Linked DNA regions of Oryctolagus cuniculus. The protein of the gene in region 3 purifies or fractionates together with the protein of the main gene of each other region. This does not show direct contact. Links are inferred from orthologs where the notes say so. Each region holds a gene or a part of one and is shown on either strand. Other genes may lie near its edges.

Region 1 (4,073 bases), on a different chromosome or scaffold from region 3:
TCTAGCAAAGTTTCAGAAGATTTACTTTGGGGAAGAAGAGATGTCTATATTTCCTATTAAATACCACTCAAAAAAATAGCTTATGAAGACATTAGGAAATAAAACTGATACACGGAGCCAATGCTAGGGCACTGAAGGTTGAGCCTGCAGCAATGCCATCGAATTCTGGCTGTTCCACTTCTGATCCAGCTTCCTGCTAGCTAGGGTGCCTGAGAAGGCAGTGGAGGATGGCTCAAGTCGTTGGGCCCCTGCACCAACATGGGAGACCAGGAAGAAACTCCTGGCTTTGGCCTGGCCCAGCTCCACCATTGCAGACATCTAGGGAATCAATCAATGGATTCTCTCTCTGCTTCTGCCTCTCCCTCCCTTTCAAATAAATAAATCTTTAAAAAAGAAAAAAAAAAAAAACTGATATACGTTTCCTTGTTAATTGGTTGTCAAAATTATTCAACTTGTCTATAATTTTTTTTTTTTTTTGACAGGCAGAGTTAGAAAGTGAGAGAGACAGAGAGAAAGGCCTTCCTTCCGTGGGTTCACCCCCCAAATGGCCGCTGTGGCCGGTGTGCTGTGCCGATCCAAAGCCAGGAACCAGGTGCTTCCTCCTGGTCTCCCATGCGGGTGCAGGGCCTAAGCACTAGGGCCATCCTCCACTGCACTCCCGGGCCACAGCAGAGAGCTGGCCTGGAAGAGGGGCAACCGGGACAGAATCCGGCACCCCAACCGGGACTAGAACCCGTGGTGCCAGCGCCGCAGGCAGAGGATTAGCCTAGTGAGCCATGGCGCCGGCCTATAATTTTTTTCTTAGTTTGTATTAATTGTTTACTTGTTTCTTATCAATAAATTCAAAGAGTACTGGGAAGCAAGCCCTTTCACAGTTAATACTTTTGATAGTTCTTCATCAAAATCTTGGTTTCTGCAGCACCGGTTCTAGTCCCAGCTGCTCCTCTTTCAATCCAACTCTCTGCTATGTCCTGGGAAAGCAGCAGAAGATGGCCCAAGTCCTTGGGCCCCTGTACCCACGCAGGAGACCTGGAATAAGCTCCTAGCTCCTGGCTCCTGGCTTTGGATGGGTTCAGTTGCGGCCACTTACGGAGTGAACCAGTGGATGGAAGGCCTCTCTCTATCACTCCCTCTCACCTTCTGTAATTCTTCCTCTCAAAAAAAATATTTTTTAAAAAATCTTGGTTTAAGGCCAGCGCAGCGGCTCACTAGGCTAATCCTCCGCCTAGCGGCGCTGGCACACAAGGTTCTAGTCCCAGTTGGGGCGCCGGATTCTGTCCCGGTTGCCCCTCTTCCAGGCCAGCTCTCTGCTGTGGCCAGGGAGTGCAGTGGAGGATGGCCCAGGTGCTTGGGCCCTGCACCCCATGGGAGACCAGGAAAAGCATCTGGCTCCTGGCTCCTGCCACCGGATCAGCGCGGTGCGCCGGCCGCAGCGGCCATTGGAGGGTGAACCAACGGCAAAGGAAGACCTTTCTCTCTGTCTCTCTCTCACTGTCCACTCTGCCTGTCAAAAATAAATAAATAAATAAATAAAACTTGGTTTAAGTTTACACTTTTAATGGAAAAAAGGGTAAATTTTTCAGAAAACACAATTTTATTCTGAAATGTAAAATTTCAGGTATTTTCTGACTGTTCTATACAGTTTATGGAGGAAGATATAGCCAAGATATTAGAGAACAGCATGTAAAAGCAACTTACAAGTTTCAAGACAAGAGCAGCAGAAGAAACGAGACGCAAACACCTTTAAAACAGTAACAGCTTCATTTAATAAGAGCTATTTCAGCTGCCCTATTTCTAATGCAAAGACTGTTCAGATGTTTTCCATGAAGAACTTAAACTACTGGTCAAAAAAACCTGTAAGAGAACATGGTATTCTAATTCCACTCTTTGAGACTTCTCTAGAGTTGTTTCCCTTTCTAGAAAAGTAGATTTAAATCCTATGCAGTCCAGGGTCCTTTCCAATCCGCCCTCGCCCCCCAAAGCACACGTTTTGAGTCGGCAGTGGAGTTAGAATCCTGACTGCTCTCCGGTACCAAACATTTATAAGCAATTGTTTGAACAGAAGAAACGCAATTCCTTCTCAAAATGCTTTTATTTGGCAAACTCTGCTGCTCCTTTTTTTAGACAAGCCCTTCGCAAAAGGAGGGGAGGAGGAGAGGGGACAATGCCTTCCTGCGGCTTTTCAAGGTACAGGATGGGAATAAATGGCTTTAAAACAGGTGTTGGGTTTTTTCTCCCGAATTAAATGAGGCAGAATTACACACGCCTCAGCCCCAGGCAACCGCACCAAAGAGGTTTTAAGACGTTGTCTTCTGTTCTTACCATGAAACTGAGCCCCTGAAGGCTCCAAACGCAACGAAATAGCTCTGGGGCTCAGAACAAACGGGTAAGCTCGCACTCGGACCCGGCCCGGCTCAACTAGCTCCCACCCAGCAAGAGCCGCTAGCTGCCCACTCGGCTCAAGGAGGCCCCGCGGCGCCTCAGGCCTCCGGGAAAACATTCCCCAGTCCTCCAGCGCCTCTTTGCTCCCGCAAACATTCAAGCCTCACTCGATATTCCTGTCCACAGTCCCTTCGGCCTCCAAAGAGAAGCCTCTGCCTGCTCAAGACCCTCTTTTACCTTCTTCAACTCCAGATCCACGGGGGCCGCCATCTTGATGCACCCCTCTGCGCCTGCGCATTGGAAGAAGGCCGGAAAGGGGTGGGGGAAGGGCTGCGTTTTGATGGGTCGCCCTCCTAATGCGCCTGCGCCTGCGTGCCGCTAATCGGGTTTGTTTCCCTGTTGCGGAGCGGGTTACTCTAAATATTCAAGATTCCGATTCAATTTGTCTTCCCTTGCTGACCTATCAGGTCTGGCTTGTTCCTCCACATCTTCCAGACACAGCCCAACGTGTAGATTTCGCTTGTGGCTTTGAACAGTTTGATAGTTTTTCTACTCAATTGAGAAGTGCGTGGATCAGGTCAAACCCTCATCAGTTATTCAGTCCTACAGCTCGTCCTGTGCTGTCAGAGATGAGTAAGAAGGGACCCCAGACCTCAGGCCTAACCATATGGAGAAGACTATTAGAAGGCTTGGGTTTTCCACCAAAGAACTCATTTCTACTGAATGCTCCCAAAGACTTTCTAGATTAGAGATTCTCGAGGGAGGTGATATGTTTGATTTTTGGAAAAATTTTTGGAAAAATGTTTAGTACAGTGGCTAAGACATCAGCATCTCATACTGGAGTGTATGGGTTTGAATCCTGATTAGGCTTCCAATTCTGGTTTCCTGCTAATGAACACCCTGAAAGGCCTTAGTAATGGATCGAGTAATAGGGTTCCTGCCACCCATATGGCAGACCTGAATTGGCCAGCTTTGTTCTGGCCAATCCTGGCACTTGAGGACTTTTGTAGAATGAATCAGTGGAAGGAATCAAGATTTCTCTCTCTCCCTCTCTCTCTCTCTCTCTCTCTCTCTCTCTTTCAAATAATAGTAATAAATGTTAAATAATATAGATTCTTAGGTCTCATTCCAAGCTTATTCAGAATCTTTGAGGGCTTAAAAATTTGCAATTATCCTAACTCCCCATGACCTGGTGGCGCAAAAGTTGTCTACAGAACACATTTGGAGAACCTCTGCTATAAAAGGACCTAGCATTTGAAACAGGCAATTGGGTTTGAGTCCCGGCTGCTCCACTTGTGATCCACCTTTCTGCTGTGGCCTGGGAAAGCAGTAGAAGATGGCTTAACTCCTTGGGCCCCTGCACCCGTGTGGAGACCCAGGGGAGGCTCCCGGCTCCTGGCTTCAGATTTGCTCAGCTCTGGCCGTTGCGGTCATTTCCGGAGTGAACCAGCACATGGAAGACCTCTCTGGCTCTACCTCTCTCTGTAACTCTGTCTTTCAAATTAAAAAATAATAATTCTTTAAAAAAAAAAAAAAGAAAGAAAGAAAGGGACCAGCGCCGCGGCTCACTAGGCTAATCCTCCGCCTAGTGGCGCCGGCACAATGGGTTCTAGTCCCGGTCGGGGCGCCGGATTCTGTCCCAGTTGCCTCTCTTCCAGGCCAGCTCTCTGCTGTGGCCAGGGAGTGCAGTG
Region 2 (2,840 bases), on a different chromosome or scaffold from region 3:
CTTCCTCAGCTTCAGCTGCCTCAAGTCTGCTGCGCGTCTTGGACTTGGAAGGCGGCAGCTACAACAGCGTTGGGAGTGGAGGAGGAGGAGGAGGAGGAGCGGAGGGAGAACACGGAGAATCACAGCAGAGCCACCGGGCCCCACCTCCATCCTTCTCACCCAGGCGCTCCCAGCCTCCAGTCCTTCCCCACCGTCCAGCGATTCTCACCTTTTTAGATTTGTCAATGCGACGGAACTTCCGGGCTGCCTCCACCGGGACGGGGGCGGGGCCCGGGAAGGGGTCCTGGGCCTGGGGCAGAGAGGAGGCAGTCAGCTCACAGCTTCGGGCTGACCCCCCAACCCTTTCACTCGCAAAGCACAGAGAAACCTGCCCCCGCCACCCTGCCGCGGTGCAGGCTCACCCCAGACAAGCTCCGCTGGGGCTCCGGCTTCTTCGGCCCTCGAGACTTCCTCGCGACCAGGGTCTTCTTGGAGATGCGCGACTTCTTTGTGACCTGAGTGTTCTTTGGTCTCTGGGGCCGGAGCTCCCGGTTCCGCTTCTTCTTAGGAGGCGGGCCTGGAGAGGCGCCGGTGGCGCTCGGAGTGGTGTCCACTTCCCAGTATCGCCGCGGTTTCTACGGGCAGATCAGGAGCCCTGGAACTCCGCGGCCCACGTCCCGCCCCCGAACCCCACAGCTAAAACCTCCCTGCCCGTCCAGAGAAGCCTGTACCTTCCTCTTGGCCTGAGGTTTGTCCTTCTTGGGTGGGGCATCCTGACTGGCCTTTGGGACTGTCTCCATCTCGCCCACTGGAACAACGATCCACGTGCAAATCTCTCAGCTGTCCCACAGTCGGCTTAGACTCTCCCGGAAGTCCTCTGTTCCGCCTCAGCCAATCAGCATCGTTCCAGGGCTGAAGTCTTGAGCACGCCATCTTGAGTGAGGGCACACTCTCCTTTAAGGGGCGGGGCGTGCTGTGGCATCTCCCTCGGGCGCCGCAGCTTATACCCGAGGAATGGGGAAAAAAAGTCAAGTCCGGGCCAGAAACCAGTAACAGAATAGTCTTTTTCCGGATTAACTTCTCTGTCTTGCCTAAAACCTTCTGAGTCCAGTCATTTCAGCCGAATGCCGCTTATTAAAAATGTTAGAACTACATTTCCCGACATGCAACCTGGAGGCAACTTCCGGATTGATTTTCCCAGCATTCCATGTTTACTTCCGGGTTGATTAATACAGAAGGGAGAACGTGAGTAGGTTAGGGTACCGTTTCAGGGGTTTTGCGTTTCTTTTCGTCCTGCACCCACTGGGGTCGGGTCGATTCGACTTCCCGGACAGGGAGAGGCCGCGGTGCCCCGAAGGACTGCCTCTCAAGAGGACTGTCATTTCCGTCGGCCCGACCAGAAAGGGGAGCTCGACCCCAGCGCCCCTCTCCCGTTCCCGCAGGCTTTCATCCCCGCCATGGCCGAGCTGATCCAGAAGAAGCTGCAGGGAGAAGTGGAGAAGTATCAACAGCTACAGAAGGGTAAGGGACCGGGTGGGCGTAGTCTCGCCGCAGCCCGCAGACTAGCCGAAACGAGCTCTCCGCCCCAGCCGGCCCGCTCCTTCCCCGCCTGTATACTCGCCCCTTCTTCCCGGTCTGCTTCCTCACATCCGCCTTCTGGGCCAGGACTGTGGGAGCCCGTGGCACTCTTGGTGTCCCACTCACGTCTCCCTTCCTCCCTAGACTTGAGTAAATCCATGTCAGGGAGGCAGAAGCTTGAAGCCCAACTAACGGAAAACAACATCGTGAAGGAGGTGAGGGGCCGGGAGTTGTGGGGGCGGAGCAGCCTGGACCGGCTGCGGTTCTGATCAGACCCGTCCCGCTCGCCCACCAGGAACTGGCTCTGCTGGACGGGTCCAACGTGGTCTTTAAACTGCTGGGGCCGGTGCTGGTTAAGCAGGAGCTGGGGGAGGCGCGGGCCACGGTGGGGAAGAGGCTGGACTACATCACAGCTGAAATGTGAGTTTTTGTCCCACTGCCCTGGCTGTCGGCCGGCGGGTGCTGGGGACCTGAGTGGATTGCCCTTCGGAGCAGCCCACGGAAGCCTCCCCTTTTAACGCGGCCTGCCCCTCCCCCTAGCAAGTCCCTCTAACTTCTCCCTGTCTTCTCTGGCCCCTGGCCTCTCCTCAGTAAGCGATACGAATCCCAGCTCCGGGACCTGGAACGGCAGTCAGAGCAGCAGAGGGAGACCCTGGCCCAGCTGCAGCAGGAGTTCCAGCGGGCCCAGGCGGCCAAGGCAGGGGCTCCCGGGAAGGCCTGACCTCGGGGCGGGGCGGGGTGGGATGGGCCACTCTAAGTACCTAATAAAATGTAAACACCTGGCTCTGTTGTCCTGCTTGTCTGTTCCCCCGGCCTCCATCACCTGACCCACACACCACACACCACTGTTACTCCCTCAAGCCCACATTCCAGCACCTGCAGTCTCTGGAACTAAACTCTAAAATGTCTCAAAGCTGCTCCTCACCTGTACTCGTATGTACAGCCCTTAATTCTCCGTTATTTTCCTAAGACACGGCCTTTTAGGAAACACAAGGACATTTACAACCTAAGCATATTGTTGGGAGTGTCGTTTAAATTGAAGAACTCAGAATTCTCTGAGAACCCAGGATGAAATGTGACTCCTCCCCTTGCTGTGAATACAAGTGCTCCGTAGGGCTCATGGGAAAATGGAAATAAAAGGTTGGGTTACAGCAGGTGGGGGCTTTTGACTCTGCTTCTCAATAAAAATATTTCCATGCAAGACATTTTGAATCATGCATTTTCCATGTACTCTTTGAAGACCCATCACATGCATGACTCCAAAGCTTCTGTACCAAAATAAC
Region 3 (4,147 bases):
CCACGTCGTGCAGCTTGCCAGGGACGTACATCTGCGAGGCAAGGGTTAAGGGGAACCAGCCCAGCATGAGCCCCGAGTCCCTGTGGGCCAGCTGCTTGGCCTCCTACGGCTTCTTTCTTTCTTTTTTAATTAATTTATTTGAAAGGCAGAGTTACAGAGAGAGATCTATTCACTCCTCAAGTGGCCGCAACTAGCCGGCTGGAGCTTCTTCTGGGTCTGCAGGGGCCCAAACACTTGGGCCATCTGCTGCTGCTTACCCAGGCGCATCAGCAGGGAGCTGGATCAGAAGTTGGCCAGGACTGGCGCTGTGGTGTAGTGGGGCTAAGCCTCCACCTGCAGAGCCAGCATCCATATGGGTGCTGGTTCAAGTCTCAGCTGCTCCTCTTCCAATCCAGCTCTCTACTGTGGTCTGGGAAAGCAGTAGAGGATGGCCCAAGTGCTTGGGCCCCTGTACCCACGTGGGAGACCTGGAAGAAGCTCCTGGCTTCAGGTTGGCGCTGCTCTGGCTGTTGCAGCCATTGTGGAGTGAACCAGTGGATGGAAGGGCTTTCCAGTCTCTGTCTCTCACTCCCTCTGTCTGTAACTCTGCCTCTCAAATAAATAAATGTCTTTTTTTTTTTTTTTCTAAAGAAGTGGAGCAGCCAGGACTTGAACCAACAAAGGCGGGTGCTGCAGGCCGTGGGTTAATTTGTTGCACCACAGTGCTGGCCCTGACCGTCTTTTTTTTAAAACAAACCACAAGGGGTAAGGACTGAGTAATCTGGAGGCCTTAGAAATATGCCTGAAAGCCAGTGCTACAGCCCACTAGGCTAATCCTCCGCCTGCAGCGCCGGCACCCCAGGTTCTAGTCCCGGTTGGGGCACTGGATTCTGTCCCGGTTGCTCCTCTTCCAGGCCAGCTCTCTGCTGTGGCCCGGGAAGGCAGTGGAGGATGGCCCAAGTGATTGGGCCCTGCACCCGCATGGGAGACCGGGAGGAAGTACCCAGCTCCTGGCTTCGGATCGGCGCAGTGTGCCGGCCATAGCGGCCATTTGGGGGATGACCCATCGGAAAAAGGAAGACCTTTGTCTCTCTAACTCTGTCAAAAAAAAAAAAAAAAAGAAAGAAAGAAAGAAAGAAAGAAAAGAAAGAAGAAAGAAAGAAAAAAGAAAAGAAAAGAAAAGAAAAGAAAAGAAAAGAAGAAAAGAAAAGAAGTATGCCTGAAGCCCCCAAAAGGCAGCCGCAAAGATGCTGGCTCCTTTTGGAGAAAGCTGGCTTGTGCTGGAACTCTAGCCCCGACTCCATCTCCCGCCCTCCAAGCGATTGTTGTAACTCCTCCCAAGGACTCCTCGGCAAAGACTGGATTTGGTGATGGTCTCCCCCTGCCTGGAGTGGACCCCGTGAAGAGCCAGCTTCATGTCCCCTCATCGTCCCCCATCACGAAGTGGCTCATGCCCATTCACTGCTACACCGCCGTTCCTGTGCCCTTTCCCAAACGCCAGCTACGCACCGCAGGTTCGCCACTGCCAGAACCTGCTCATTCCAGGTCAACCCCCAGCAGGTGAGCCTAACCCAGGCTCCTTCCAGCAGCTGAGGAATGGGCCACGGGGAAAGTGAAATTTAGGGTTAATGAACAGAGCCAACCTCCCTGTTTAATACTAGCAAAAGAAGATCAGCTTTTTCTTCATATTCATGGCCTCTAACAGCATGGGGGGGAGACCACAACTCTACATACCATATCCCTTGGCACTCAGAAGGCATGAGCTGGATGTCGACCTGAGGCTACGAAGTGTGTACAACAAGAGCCCTCTCAAAATCACTGGGGGGAGGGGGTAGCCAGTAAAGCCGCTGCCTGCAGTGCCGCTTCCCATGTGGGCGCAGGTTTGAGTCCCGGCTGCTCCACTTCCAATCCAGCTCTCTGCTGTGGCCTGGGAAAGCAGTGGAAGATGGCCAAAGTCCTTGGGCCCCTGCACCCGTGTGGGAGACCCGGAAGAAGCTCCTGGCTTCGGATCGGCACAGCACTGGCCATTGCGGCCAATTGGGCAATTAACCAACGGATGGAAGGCCACTCTCTCTCTGCCTCTCTCTAACTCTGCCTTTCAAATTAAAAAAAAAAATCAAGGGGGAGTTCTACGGTGTCCGCCCCGCCCCCGGGAGGCGGCGCGGTAGCAATCCCAGTGGAAAGGATACGGAACTTGTCAGTGGGACGAGCAGTTCTTTCCCTGTGAAAGCAATGAAGACAAACAGCGTGGGCAGGCTGGCAGCCGTAAAGGGAGTTCAGAGCCCGGCAGCATGCACAGGGCGCGTGCAGCGGCGCTCAGCGCGCAGCGCCCGGTCCTCTCGCCGCCGCGGTCCCCGCGTTGCCCGCTCCTACGCCGCATACCCTCGTTGCTCTTGTTCAGCACGTTCAGACAGTCCTTGGCTTCCACGTACTTGGTCTGTACCACCTTGAGCTGGGCGATGGACGTGGACAAGAACTCCACCTCCTACACGGGACGGGAAAGCGGGGCCGGCTGAGGACCCGGGGCCCGAGAGGGGCGGACCCTGGGAGCCGGGGAAGGGAAACGGCTCAAACTGGAAAGGAACGGGGTGGGGGGCGAGAGGCTGCGTGTGGCCGACGGGATGTGGAGCGCGCGAAAGGTGTTGCTCGGGCTCCATCCCCACCTGATCCAGCTGGTTCTTGAGCATTTCTAGCTGCGGCAGGTTCAGCTCCGTGATGTTGATCGACTGCGCCATGTTGGGACGGAGGAGTAGCCGAGAGGAAGCCGGCCGCGTGAGCGACGCTCTAGCCGTCTCCTGCGCGTCTCTATGGCCGTGCCCGGCGGCCTCGCTGCGCCGGACGTCTCTATGACCCGCAAGGGAGGGAGGCGCTGGAGCCGCTCAGGTGCACCTTGTGTTGAGAGTCACGGGATAGTCTAAGCCTAGTCCAATAAAGTTGTAGCAAGCCATGATGCCTGTCCTCCAGGAAGTTGAAAATCCTGAAGTGCTCAGGACACAGCCACAATCCTGTAAGGCAGCGTGTAAATCTAGTGACCGACAGCTGTGTGCGTGGTGGGGGGCAGCTGGTCGGGCCCCTTGTCCCTTGTCGCAGAGGAGCATCATGAAAATGCTGCTTGGAGCAGACGCAGGGGAGAGTCTGGAAGTGGAGAGGATTAAAAAGCCGCAGTCTGAACGTCACACAATAAATGTTTTGTGAACTGTGAAAAATTGAAAAAAAAAAAAAAAAAAGCCACAGTCAGCCAACAAGCATAGCACAAGGTGTCACTCCGTAGCATGTGTTACCTGCGCTAGCTAGACGGAGCCTGGAACGCCATCCTGGTCGGCCGCATTGGGTGCTGGGCCCAAGTACTTCAGTTATCATCTGCTGCCTTCAGGAAGCTGCATTGGAAATGTAGAGTAGCTGGGACTCAAACCAGGTGCTGTGCTATGAACACATCTTGTTTCCTTGGAGCCCAGAACCTACATGGGTTATTTCCTGGGGTTCTGGCTTACATGTGGGTGTGTGTTCTGGGAGGCCAAGGTCTATGTGTTGTTTCCTAGGATGCCCGGAATTCCTGATGGGAATTGAATCCAGGCACTCCAAGGTGGGATACACCCACCTGAGCTGCTAGGGCAAATGTGGCATAGCAGGTTAGGCAGCCGCCTACTATGACAGCATCCCAAATGGGTGCTAGTTTGAGTTCCGGCTGCTCCACTTCTGATCCAGCTCCCTGCTAATGTGCCTGGGAAAGCAGTGGGAGATGGGAAGATAGCCTGAGTCCTCGGGCCCCTGTGTGGGAGACCCAGATTAAGCTCCTAGTTTTGGCCTGGCCAGCCCTGGCCATTGTGGTCACTTGGGGAGCAAACCAGCAGATGAGATCTCTCGCTCTCCTCTTTCAAATAAATTAAAACTTTTTTTTTTTTTTAAAGACCTATTTGAGAGGTAGAGACACAGAGAAAGGTCTTCCATCTGGTTCACTCCCAAAATGGCTGCAACAGCTGGAGCTGTGTGGATCCAAAGCCAGGAGCTTCTTCCAGGTTTTCCAATGGGTGCAGGGGCCCAAGGACTTGGGCCATCTTCTGCTTTCCCAGGCCATAGCAGAGAGCTGGATCGGAAGTGGAGCAGCCAGGACTCGAACCAGTGCCCATATGGGATGCAGACACCACAGGCAGAGGCTTAACCTACTATA

Evidence for each region. Proteins that work in one complex are often made in the same cells at the same time.
Region 1: the proteins of PFDN5 (region 3) and PFDN1 purify together in Homo sapiens (affinity purification with mass spectrometry; 7 studies listed by BioGRID and IntAct, with this or other methods). This does not show direct contact. The link is inferred for Oryctolagus cuniculus from reciprocal best matches to the Homo sapiens genes PFDN5 and PFDN1.
Region 2: the proteins of PFDN5 (region 3) and PFDN6 purify together in Homo sapiens (affinity purification with mass spectrometry; 5 studies listed by BioGRID and IntAct, with this or other methods). This does not show direct contact. The link is inferred for Oryctolagus cuniculus from reciprocal best matches to the Homo sapiens genes PFDN5 and PFDN6.

Annotation. Positions count from the first base shown.
Region 1 is NC_091437.1:27,961,788-27,965,860, forward strand, and holds the start of PFDN1 (prefoldin subunit 1), read right to left. Parts: upstream 2,801-4,073; 5' UTR 2,653-2,800; coding exon 2,620-2,652; intron 1-2,619. UniProt on the Homo sapiens protein: Binds specifically to cytosolic chaperonin (c-CPN) and transfers target proteins to it. Binds to nascent polypeptide chain and promotes folding in an environment in which there are many competing pathways for nonnative proteins.
Region 2 is NC_091436.1:135,834,645-135,837,484, reverse strand, and holds PFDN6 (prefoldin subunit 6), read left to right. Parts: upstream 1-1,178; 5' UTR 1,179-1,436; coding exon 1,437-1,500; intron 1,501-1,701; coding exon 1,702-1,772; intron 1,773-1,852; coding exon 1,853-1,977; intron 1,978-2,148; coding exon 2,149-2,278; 3' UTR 2,279-2,340; downstream 2,341-2,840. Other genes in the region: WDR46 (WD repeat-containing protein 46), read right to left, coding at 1-58, 209-289, 402-614, 711-779. UniProt on the Homo sapiens protein: Binds specifically to cytosolic chaperonin (c-CPN) and transfers target proteins to it. Binds to nascent polypeptide chain and promotes folding in an environment in which there are many competing pathways for nonnative proteins.
Region 3 is NC_091442.1:56,307,166-56,311,312, reverse strand, and holds the start of PFDN5 (prefoldin subunit 5), read right to left. Parts: upstream 2,801-4,147; 5' UTR 2,715-2,800; coding exon 2,643-2,714; intron 2,465-2,642; coding exon 2,362-2,464; intron 2,201-2,361; coding exon 2,169-2,200; intron 32-2,168; coding exon 1-31. UniProt on the Homo sapiens protein: Binds specifically to cytosolic chaperonin (c-CPN) and transfers target proteins to it. Binds to nascent polypeptide chain and promotes folding in an environment in which there are many competing pathways for nonnative proteins.